Mus musculus: one gene and its partner. The protein of the gene in region 1 interacts with the protein of each later gene in a biochemical or structural test. Links are inferred from orthologs where the notes say so. Each region holds a gene or a part of one and is shown on either strand. Other genes may lie near its edges.

Region 1 (5,738 bases):
TCCCCTGCCTCAGCCTCTGAGTTCTATGATGGCAGACCTGCACCTATAAAAAACCCAGCTTCTTTATTATTAAAACAATTTTAATTGTATTTTTAATTTTGTGTATGTGTATGGAGGTCAGAGCACATCTTGTGATAGTCTGGTTTCTTCCATCATATGGATTCTGGGAATCCAACTCACGTCAGCAGGCTTGGTGGCAAGCCCTTTTATCCAGCGAGCCATCTTGCTGGTCCCCTAAATCCATTCCTTCTTTTAAAAACTTTGTTATTTCATTTTATATGTATGAGTGTTTTGTTTGAGTGCATGCCTGTGCACCACATGCACACCTGGTGCCCAAGGAAGCCAGAAGATGGTGTTGGATTGCCCAGAACTGGAGTTACAGCTGGTTGTAAGTCACCATGTGGGCGCTGGGAATCCAACTGGGGTCCTTTGGAAGAACAGCCTACATTCTACCTTCTAAGCCACCTTTCTAGCTCCCCAAACTATTTCTTGGTACATCTGCTTTAGAAGTTAAGTTTCACATCCTATAATCCTGAAGCTACTACGTGTATAGAGCCTGAAACACTGCCCATACAAAGCCTCAATCCACAAGCAGGCAAGTTCACATGCATATGGTGTCTCAGGCAATGCCGTACTGTGGCCCCAAAAGAAAGAACCCAGATGCCCATTAAAAATAAAAAGAAAGAAAGAAAGAAAAAAGAAAGTGGACAAGCAAATTGTAGACTTTTCTTTATAGAGTATTATACAGCAAAGAAAATGTGTCACCCACAGGTTCTGCAGAATGATGCTTATTATGAGATCAAAAGGAGCAAAGCATAACTCCTGCCGAGGAAGGCATGCCAAGGTCATAAATAAAGCTAAAAGAATTAGCAGAATGCTCAGGCAGAAGTTATACTGGCACTGGCCCCCGTGTAGGCCTGTAGGCGGGTTTCTGGGGAGCTGGCTTCCAGGAGGGTTCATTCGCAGCAATTCCTCAACTTGTTCATTTGTGATTTATGTAGTTTTCTCTGTGTTCATGGAGTTTCCAAATAGGAAGAAAAAAAAAAAAAGCAGGTGGGGTGATCCAAGTGCCTTATAGAGCAGGGGCCAAACCGAGCTAGGCCAGCAGCCCCCGCCTAACACCCTAGGTCTCAGTGAGTGGTCTGCTCCTGGGAGCTCACACGGGGGCTGCCACCAGGATCTCCTATACATTAGCTTGGATTGGCCCCCTGGGACCCACAGCCTTCCTAGAAGTGCCCCAAACCATTCTTCTAGCTCATAAAAACTGTCTTCTGCTCAACAGACCCACATTTGTTCAGCGTCGGCCACCCGCACCAAGTCTCCAGACCAAACCCTCTGGTCTTTTAAGTTTCTTCCTTCCTGTTGGGCACGCCTCGTTCTAGGCAGCGACGCGGACCTCGGGTGGCAAGCAAGGTCCCTTGTGCCGGAGGACTCTGTCCCGACTTCCCCCTGCGCGCCTGGCCGCGCCTGCTCTCGCGCTGGTGATTGGTTGCGCGTGTCGCCGGGTGGGTCTTGCTCTAGGGCGCAGGGCCGCGATCTAGCCCCGGCTCCCGGCCGGGCAGCTCCCTCCTCGCACCCCGCACCTCTTCTTTCAGCGGAGCTGGGGGGAAGGGAGGGAGGCACCCGGGGGTGGGATGCTGCCAGGCTCTGCCGCAGCCCGAACCTCTGCCGAGCGGCGCGCACCGCCCTCCCTCGCTCGTTCGCTCGCTCTCTCGCCTCCTTCCCCCCGTGGGGAATTTTCAAGACTGCGCTGCTGCAATTTCCCCCCGGCCGAGGCTGCGCCGCGCCTGGCTGCGCGCACACACGCTTCCGCGCGCAGAGGAGCCGGCGGCTGCTGAATCAGGAGGAAAACAGATCGGCTTTTTTTCAAAGCCGGGGACCAGCGGCTCCCTGAAGCCTCCGAGCCCCGCCGCGCCCCTGCGCCCCGCTCCTCCGCCCTCTGCTCTCCAGTCGGGTTGAATTTGGGGGAGGGGCTGCAGCGTTTTCAGGAATTTTCTATTCTTTCCAGGTCTAGGAAAGTCAGCAAAACAGACGGACAAATCCTTCGCTGCCACCCTCTTCCTATAGCAAAGACCTGGTTTTGTTTTTTTGTTATTTAATTCTTTTCTTTTTATTTTATTTTATTTTTTTACTAATGGGCCGAGCCCACGCCTTTAGCAAGATGCCAAGCTGACCCGGACCTCGGAGGAATTTGAAGCCAGTCTCTGCGTCCAAGGGAGGGGGGACGTCCTTCGTTTAGACTTCGCGTTTTAAAGGGGGTGTGCATTGGAGCGTTGCTTTAAAAAAAAAAAAAGCTGATCTTTTTACACTATTTTTTTTAACTGATTTTTTTTTAACTGAAAAAAATTTTTTTTCTTCTTCTCCGGAGTGGGTGGCCGGGGATCGCCTGGATCGCGTCCCCGGTTATTTTTGCCGCGCCCCTCCCCCGCGCCCCGCCCCCGCGCCCTCCCCCGCACCCCTCCTCCCGCCCGGGGTCACCGCCTCTGCCGGCATGTCCCGAGCCGCGCTCCCCGGCTCGGCCGGGCCGTCCCGCTCGTGAGCCCCCCGAGCTGAGGCCGGGCGCCGCCGCCCGATGGGCTGGGCCGTGGAGCGTCTCCGCAGTCGCAGGTGCAGCCGCCGTCCCCACAGCCCGGCCAGCCTGAGCAGCGGCGGCGGTGGTGGTGGTGGTGGTGGCGGTGGCCGTGGCTTCCGCAGCGCTCGCCGCAGCAACAGCAGCCGCCGCGTAACCCGAGGCCCTTTGCTCTTTGCAGAATGGCCCGCTTTGGAGACGAGATGCCGGGCCGCTACGGCGCAGGCGGAGGAGGCTCAGGGCCGGCCGCCGGGGTGGTCGTGGGCGCCGCGGGCGGCCGAGGAGCCGGGGGCAGCCGGCAGGGCGGGCAGCCCGGAGCGCAGAGGATGTACAAGCAGTCGATGGCGCAGAGAGCGCGGACCATGGCCCTCTACAACCCCATCCCTGTCCGCCAGAACTGCCTCACGGTCAACCGCTCCCTGTTCCTCTTCAGTGAAGACAACGTGGTGAGAAAATACGCCAAAAAGATCACTGAATGGCCATATCCTTTTGCCCCAGCCCGAGCGGCTGCGCCTCCCCTCCTCCTCTTCTTCCTCCTCTTCTTCTTCCTCCTCCTCCTCCTTTTCCTCCTCCTCTTTTTTCCTCTGCGGGGCTGGGAAAGAGACCTGGGGGCTGATGGGAGCTGGGGGGCTTCTCGGCGGATAGGGGCTGGAGATGGGGGCCCGGTAGCTGAGGGAGGCAGCCTCCAGGCCTGCTGGGCTGCCGCTGCAGAGTGAGCCTGCGAGTAGTTAGGAGGCTTGGGACTGGGGGAGTGAGTGGTTCCTTGTGAAGACCGAAGGTCTGGATCCTGGGTCGGGTCGCGCGGGGACACTGATGGGGGCTCTTCTGATGGGGTCTGACTTCTGATGGAGCCCTAGCTGGGCCAGTGCTTGGACGATTTGGGTTACAGGGTAAGAGAACCCATACATGTCTCCCTCAAATCCTTCGGAATAGTACCCCGATCTCTCAACCCTGGCCTTCCACCCAAGGTGGGATCCTCAGGCCTAGGGTATAGGATACCATGTGGCCTGGCCGTAGAGAAGCCATCCCTCAGTTAGTGGCTCTGGGTGGGCCACCAGCTGCATCTGGGGACTGGTTTTTTTTTTTTTAGTGGTTTGAGGGACACATCATCAGAAGCCCTGTGTGCAACTTCCATTCTCTCCTGTCACAGATCAGAACCCCTTCAGCGTTATTTTTTGGGGTGTAAAGAAACATAATGCCATCCATCTGGTGAGGCCCATGGCCTGGGAAGATTTGAGGTGTGTTGTTTCAGTATGAGGGAAGGCTGAAGGAAGGAAAAGAAGTGGGGACCCTTTGGAGGGCTTTTTGTGGGCTTGGGTTTAGCTTCTCATACACTGGGGACCTGGGTAGGAACACCAGGAGGGTCAGCCTCCATATAGACATCTTGGGCAGGTAGGCAATCCCCCTTCCATGAAAGACCCAGAGAAAAATGGCAAAAAGCCGTTTTTCCTCTGCGGAGACTGATTGCACACACAGTGCCCCTGATTCCATGAAGTCCTCATTTGCTTCCCATAAACCTGGAAGAGGACATGCTTAGCATCTGGGGAGATGCAGGCAGGCGCGGGTGGGTAGAGTTGAGGTTTCTCTGCCGTCTAAGCATGACCCAGATTCCTGGTGTGGGGGGGGGACACACCCTGCTCCCCAGGCTGGCTGGCCACCCTGCCATGCCCAAATGTGCCTCTTGGCTTTTCAGGCTCCAGTCTGTTGAGGGCCAGAATTATCTGGGCTGGTCAGGTCCTTAGAGTTTACAAGGGGTCCATAGCTCCTCTGTAATGGGTGGGGCCCTTCCGGCTCAGGCAGAGCTGGGCTCTCGGAGTTTCTGTTCCAAGAGCACAGAGGGCTGCATTCACTTCTGGGGGCTCCAGATGGTGGTTCCTGGGGCTGTGAAATCAAATCAAGAGAGCAGGAGGTTTCAGAGTACGGGGTTTACTTGGAGGCAGTGAAAATTAGGTGTCAAAGGCCTTTTTTTGAGGAATGTCTCCATAACCACAGTGTTATTGGTGCCAGGATTTTGCCCCTGAATTCCTCCTTGCAAAGGTGGGTCCTGAAGGCTGGCAGTGTGCACTCCCAGGCATTCCAACCCAGTAACATGTTCAGAGGATGTGTGACTTTAGTACACATTCTGGAAAGAGTCGCTGGGGCTTAGAGGATGACAGGGGGTACAAGCACAACTTCAGGTGGCGCTAGGGGCCGCCGTCTTGAGGGAGCAGTCACTGGCCTGATGGGGCTTTCTTGTTGAGATGACTTTCCCCCTCTCTGTAGCCTTAGAAGAGGAGGCAGAAGAGCTGGCGAGCCCCTCAATTGTCCTCAGCTCACCCCTGTCTCTCTTGGATGCTGCAGTTCTGAGAGATGTAGGTGGTGGACCCTCACAGAAGTTATGTTTGGGCTGAGCCCTGGGCACCGTGAGAGCATCCCAACCTTGTTTCTTGGCTAGTTCAGGCCTCATTTGCACTGGGTAGCTTTGGAATGAGTGTGTGCAGTTTCCCGCCCTCTCTGCAGAGCCTCTATTCCCTTTTTGGCCCGAAGAATCAAACACTGTTATACAGCCCCACTCCAGAAGGGAGCGCTTCCCATCCCAGACCCAGCAGTCTCCAAGCCAGGTCATCATGCAGGGAGCTGCTTCCGGGAGGATTGGAGAGGGAGGGACAGAAGACCTGAGGCTGTTCCATCAAGAAATTCAGGCCAGTGGGAGGGAACAACACAGACTTGCCTGGGAGTCAAGATACCACACAGAACATTGACTTTAAAAAGAAAAAAAAAATCCAAATACTATTGGCATTAGGAAAAAAAAATGCTTAAGTAATTTCTCTAAAAAATTTCTTTTAGGGAGGTGAAGACAGAGTCTCATGTAGTCCAGGCTGGCCTCAAACTCTCTATGTGGCTGAGGAGAGTTTGAGTCATGACACCAGCTTTGCTCTGTGTTGGGGCTGAAACCAGGGTCTCACACATGCTCGGCAAGCACTCTAACAGTTGAATGAGCACATTCAGAGTATTTTAGAAAAAAGCCTAAGATGTGTACAGGCAAGCATAAGAGTTGGGGTTGGCACCACTGATGAATGCACACCCTCCAGGCCAAAGGACCTCTGTCTTCCCCTCCCGGATCACATCCGAACAAGATCGGCTGACCCTCTAACCTCCTTTTTATGCCTCATGTAAATGGGACTGGAGC
Region 2 (4,975 bases), on another chromosome or scaffold:
CAAAACTGAACCAAAAGAGAACTGGTGACCAAGCTCCTTCCTACAGTGAAGGCCTCTAGATCCTCGTTGCCTGGAATGGAGCAGATTCTCTCTGTTCTCAGTTTCCTTCTTAGGAGAAGGTGGAAGTTGCTCACCAGTGTTTTCTGATGTCATGCAGCTCAGTTGAACTTTTCTTTTTTGCCTTTTTTTCCTTTTTTTCTTTAACAAAACAATGAAATTATGAGTGAGCTCGACATAGGAGAGAGAAGTTCAGAAGTATAAGCTCTGCCCATGTTGATGCTCACAGCGGTCCCAGGAAATCTCCTCACAACTTTTATTGCTACACGGGATAATTTGATGCTGCCTTAAATAATTATCAAGGCATAAAGGTTCAAGAAGTTAGAACACGGTGGTATTCCAAGCACCTGCAGCTTATAGATGCAGCCACCCAGGCCAGCACCACTTGGCTTCAGTATCCCGCTACAACTTCTGTACATTCTATTGCTGTAAAACTTGAGCACAGTGGTGGATACCTATGGCTCCTGGACAAAGGAGGCTGAGGCAGGAGGATTAGGAACTCAAAGTTATCTAGATACATATTGAGAGACTCTGCCTCAAAAAATGTTTGTTCGTTCCCGAGCCTTTATGAAAAGGACAATTTTTGGTCCTCCCTAAGGCTTCTAGTCACCAGAGCCTCCAGACTTAGAATGGCCAAAAACAGGAGGAATGGGAGGACGTGTAATTAAATTCATGAAGTTCAAAGAAGTTCAGCCCTGGAGAAGAATAAGTCTGCTAAGAGGATCAAGGGAAGCGATCCTCCCTTTATGAACTCACCCATGCTGTGCAGATGAGGGTAGGGAAGGTCTGTGGATTTCTCTGATTGTCCTAGGTGGACCAGCTTTGAATTCTACAGACAATAGTTGGAAGCTGAGCGGTCTCCGTTAAAAATTATTTTAAAACAATAAAATCTACAAACCATCATTTGATAATGTGTGGTCCAGCTGTTCCCCTCTCTCCATACAAAGTCTCTGCTTTAGTCTTCCATGGCAGCAAGGTGTGTGTGTGTCCTAACTTATCATAACTCCAGTGCTCACATTGACTTCAGCGACTGGGGTCATGAGTGCCAACCAGATGTGCACAAGTGCACACCAGATGTGCTCAGATCCTATACTGAGGCTTCCATGCCTGCAGAAAGGAAACCATATTTCTCACATCCTACCCACAAAGCTCCTCTTGGGTCTGTGGAGAAACACTTCATATATTAGAGATTAACTACTGAGCCAAGAAACACAACTTAGTTACCAACTGGTTGGGTTTGTTTTGTTTTTTCTGTGATCAAATGAAGCTTTCCCTTTTCAGCCAACGGTGTTAGGGCAGAGCAGTTGTGTATCCTGAAGGGCTTGTTCAAGAGCAAATCAACTGTGAGTTTTGAGGAAACTGTATAGCTATTTCCTAGAAAGAGCATGCCTAATTCATGTTTTGATTCCCTCCTGGTGTGCTGTGTGCTTTAAAGGCAACTTGGCCAGGCAGGCCATAATGGAGGGAGCCCATTTTCACTGGAGTGGTTTTCAGCTACAGAGCCAAAGCCTGCCGCCATTCATTGTTTCTGTTTTAATACGAGCCAGAGTCTGTTTAAAATCCTTGTGGCTGACGTTTACTGTACGGTGGTTCTGTGGTAGTATGTGAAGTATCTGCTAAGCACTGCAGCTATGAGTCACTCAGAAAGCCACATGACATTTTTACTGGCTTGTCCTGTTCTGTGTTCCTCTTCCTAGGATATCAATAACAAGAGTGACAGCTGACATTTCTCTTGCTAAGAGATCTGTCCTCAACAATCCTAGCAAGAGAGCAATAATTGAACGTTCCAACACCAGATCCAGCTTAGGTAAGATGTTTTCATATGGGCATTCGGTGTATGGGTGGGGAATATCTTGTCCTACTTGGGCACTGACCTACCTGGAGAAGTACTGAATATCTGTGGAGAAAGCCAGCCGTTGGACAGGACAGGGGCAGAGTCCTTGCAGCAGCCAGAATCCTTTTCTCCCTCCCTCCCTCCCTCCCTCCCTCCCTCCCTCCCTCCCTCCTCCCTCTCTTCCTCCCTTCTTCCTCATCCTCTTTCTGCCTCCATCTCTGTCTCTCTCCCCTCTCCCTCCCTCCTCCTTCTCCCCCCTCTCTGTCTCTGTCTGTCTCTCTGTCTCTGTCTTTCTGTCTGTCTCTCCCTTCCTCCCTTCTTCTTCCTCCTCCCCTCTTCCTGTCTGTCTCTCCCTCCCTACCTTTCTCTTCCTCCTCCTCTCTTCCTGTCTCTCTCCCTCCCTCCCTTCCTCCTCCCTCTCTCCCTCCCTCTCTCCCTCCCTCTCTCCCTCCCTCCCTCCCTCCCTCCCTCACTCTTCTTCCTCCCCCTCTCACTTCTAGACACTTAGTGTGGTGGGAGCCGACCTCCTCAGGCCCCTCTACCCAGTTGCTGTTGCACCATGGGGAACCACCTATCTCCTTCCCCCAAACATCCCAATAAGCTTCTGTTGTAGGCGACACATGGCTGACATGGAAGGAAAGAAGATGTTTAGAGAGGGAAGGTAATGATATTCTTGTGTGGCCAACTGGTAGACTCAGAAGAGTCACACCTTTCAGTAGAAATGGTGGCTACCATGATGGCCATGCAGAGAACTTAAACTTGTCTTTTCTGGGTACTTGTTGGAAAGCATCTTTACAAATCTTCCCATGAGGGAGACTATAAAGTTCTCAATGAGTTGGTGTGTGCATAGAAGTGAGCCACTTTGGGAAATGTTCCCCTGAGCCCATGGAAAAAATAATAACAGTTTTGGGAGCTGAGAGAGGGAGATGAACATCTGTAAATCCAGCACCTGGGAGTGGAGTCAAGAGGACCAGGAGTTCAAGGCCAGCATAGACTACAGAAGACCTTGTCTCAAAAGCAAGCAAGTAGCCAAACACAAGGAACATCACTAGTTCCAAAAATGCTGAAACACTCCAGTCTAGTGGTAAAGAGTGTTTATGAAGGGCCTCCAGCACCAGAGTCTATGACTGTCCCAGCTTTGTTTACCAGCAACAAATTTACAAAGAAGGTTCCCTTAGCACCCCTCTGAGAACCTGTCTGATTGTTGCCTTTCTTGAAGAAGATGAGATAGGTAAATAAAAGGGCCTTTGCCTCCCTTATGCCTGTAATTTGCTTATTATACTGTGTATACAGATTTTCCAAGTACTGGGCTCATCACCCACTATGTGATATGGCCTCCTTCTCTACCCAAGTTCCACCACTGCTTACAGCACAGGGCCATTGCCCAAGGGCTTTGAGCATTGCAGCAGTGACTATGAACCTACACTCCAGTTCATTGCTGGTGCATAGGAAATAAAACCCTGGTGTTTCTGAGCTATTTGGACCGAGACTTAGAGCGCCTTGTGGATTCTGGGTCCTGGGGCAGTGCCATTTGTATTGCTGCCTTTTCGTTTCTTCAGAAAAAATATCAAATGTGATTTTACATTATTTTATAATGATATGTGAGGCTTGGAACTAAAACAATGTCAGCTTGTTCTGCTGTAGTTCTGCCTAGAACTGCTTCTTTAAAACTGTGGCAAATCAATTAAAGCACAAATCGAGGACCTACCCCAACATCCTTCTGCTGAAACGGACTGCAGGAAAAATTGGCCTTATTTTCCAAATGGCCTTCTTGAGAAAAATTTCTTTTTAAATTGCTTCTGATGTGCTAGGGGAAAAACTGGATATATGTTCATTATTACTAACAAATGTAGACTATTATCTCATGAGAACTTGGCAGAGATTTTCTTAAATAGCTACCCTGAAAGCTGGTTACTGGAGCATCAGGATGGAGCCTTTCAGGTCATTAGTATTGAATAATGTGAAAGTGATATGTATTTCGTCTACTTAAATTCATATTTTAAAAGAAGATTGTCTCTTTATTTGTGTGTGTATGCCACGTGAATGTGGGTGGGTGAGAAGGCCAGAGAGATCGATCCTCTGGTCCCCTGGAGCAGGATTACAGGTGATCGTAATATGGATGCTGAAAACTGAGTTTAGTCTTCTGGAGGAACAGCGAGTGCCCCCTAACTGCTGAGCCATCCCTCTAGCCCCCATAATCATACTTTTTAAACATAGATCGTGCATTAAATGTCAGTGATTCTTTGAGAAATAAGAAGCTTTTGCTTCTATGCAAAGTCTTCCCCTTAGTAGAATCTAATTCAGATTTGACGCATGAGCCACTACATCGAGTGACTCATAAACTCTATGAAGGACTACTTGCTGCTGTTCTCCATTTTTGAGACCGTATCAGTTTTTGAGGCTGCAGTCTAGGCTGAAACTCTCTGCATTTCCCAGGATAACCTTGAAGTCATGATCCTTCTGCCTCAGTTTCCCAAGTTTTGTGATACCAGGTATTCACTACCAAGCTCAACTTTTATATTTCAGAAAAACATATGCTTTGCTCATATATTTTCCTTCAAACAAACAAACAAACAAGAAGAAGAAGAAGAAGAAGAAGAAGAAGAAGAAGAAGAAGAAGAAGAAGAAGAAGAGGGGCTTGTAAACCACAGTAGCATTAATGTATCGCATCACAGTACTTGGGAAGTAGGGACAGAAAGACCACAATTGGTTTGACCTGCATGGCAAGGCTCTGTCTCAAAACAAAGTACTTGGATTGCTTCAGACATTTGAAAAGAACTAGCATTTTTATTCGACTAAGTTAGAAGATGCAGATTTGGGTCACCTGATGATTGCAAGGAGCCAGATAGGTTTGAATCACGATACAGTACAACATTTGAATATAGTCAGCTGTGTGTGTGTGTGTGTGTATGTTAGTTATACTTATAGTAACTATACCTTAAACAACTCCACTGGCTCTAAAGCTTAAATTCAACTAGACTTGGTAATCTTCCGATTGTCTGAGGAAGCTCACAACCATTAGCCAGGATACAAAAATGTGCATAACAGCCCCTTTCCATCCCTCAAACGTGTTTCCTAAATGTG

The links.
Region 2: the proteins of Cacna1a (region 1) and Cacnb4 form a complex in vitro, tested with the Homo sapiens proteins (2 studies listed by BioGRID). The link is inferred for Mus musculus from reciprocal best matches to the Homo sapiens genes CACNA1A and CACNB4.

Annotation. Positions count from the first base shown.
Region 1 is NC_000074.6:84,412,894-84,418,631, forward strand, and holds the start of Cacna1a (voltage-dependent P/Q-type calcium channel subunit alpha-1A), read left to right. Parts: upstream 1-2,470; 5' UTR 2,471-2,750; coding exon of another isoform or gene 2,751-2,751; coding exon 2,752-3,050; intron 3,051-5,738.
Region 2 is NC_000068.7:52,452,489-52,457,463, reverse strand, and holds part of Cacnb4 (voltage-dependent L-type calcium channel subunit beta-4), read left to right. Parts: intron 1-1,754; coding exon 1,755-1,864; intron 1,865-4,975. UniProt on the Homo sapiens protein: The beta subunit of voltage-dependent calcium channels contributes to the function of the calcium channel by increasing peak calcium current, shifting the voltage dependencies of activation and inactivation, modulating G protein inhibition and controlling the alpha-1 subunit membrane targeting.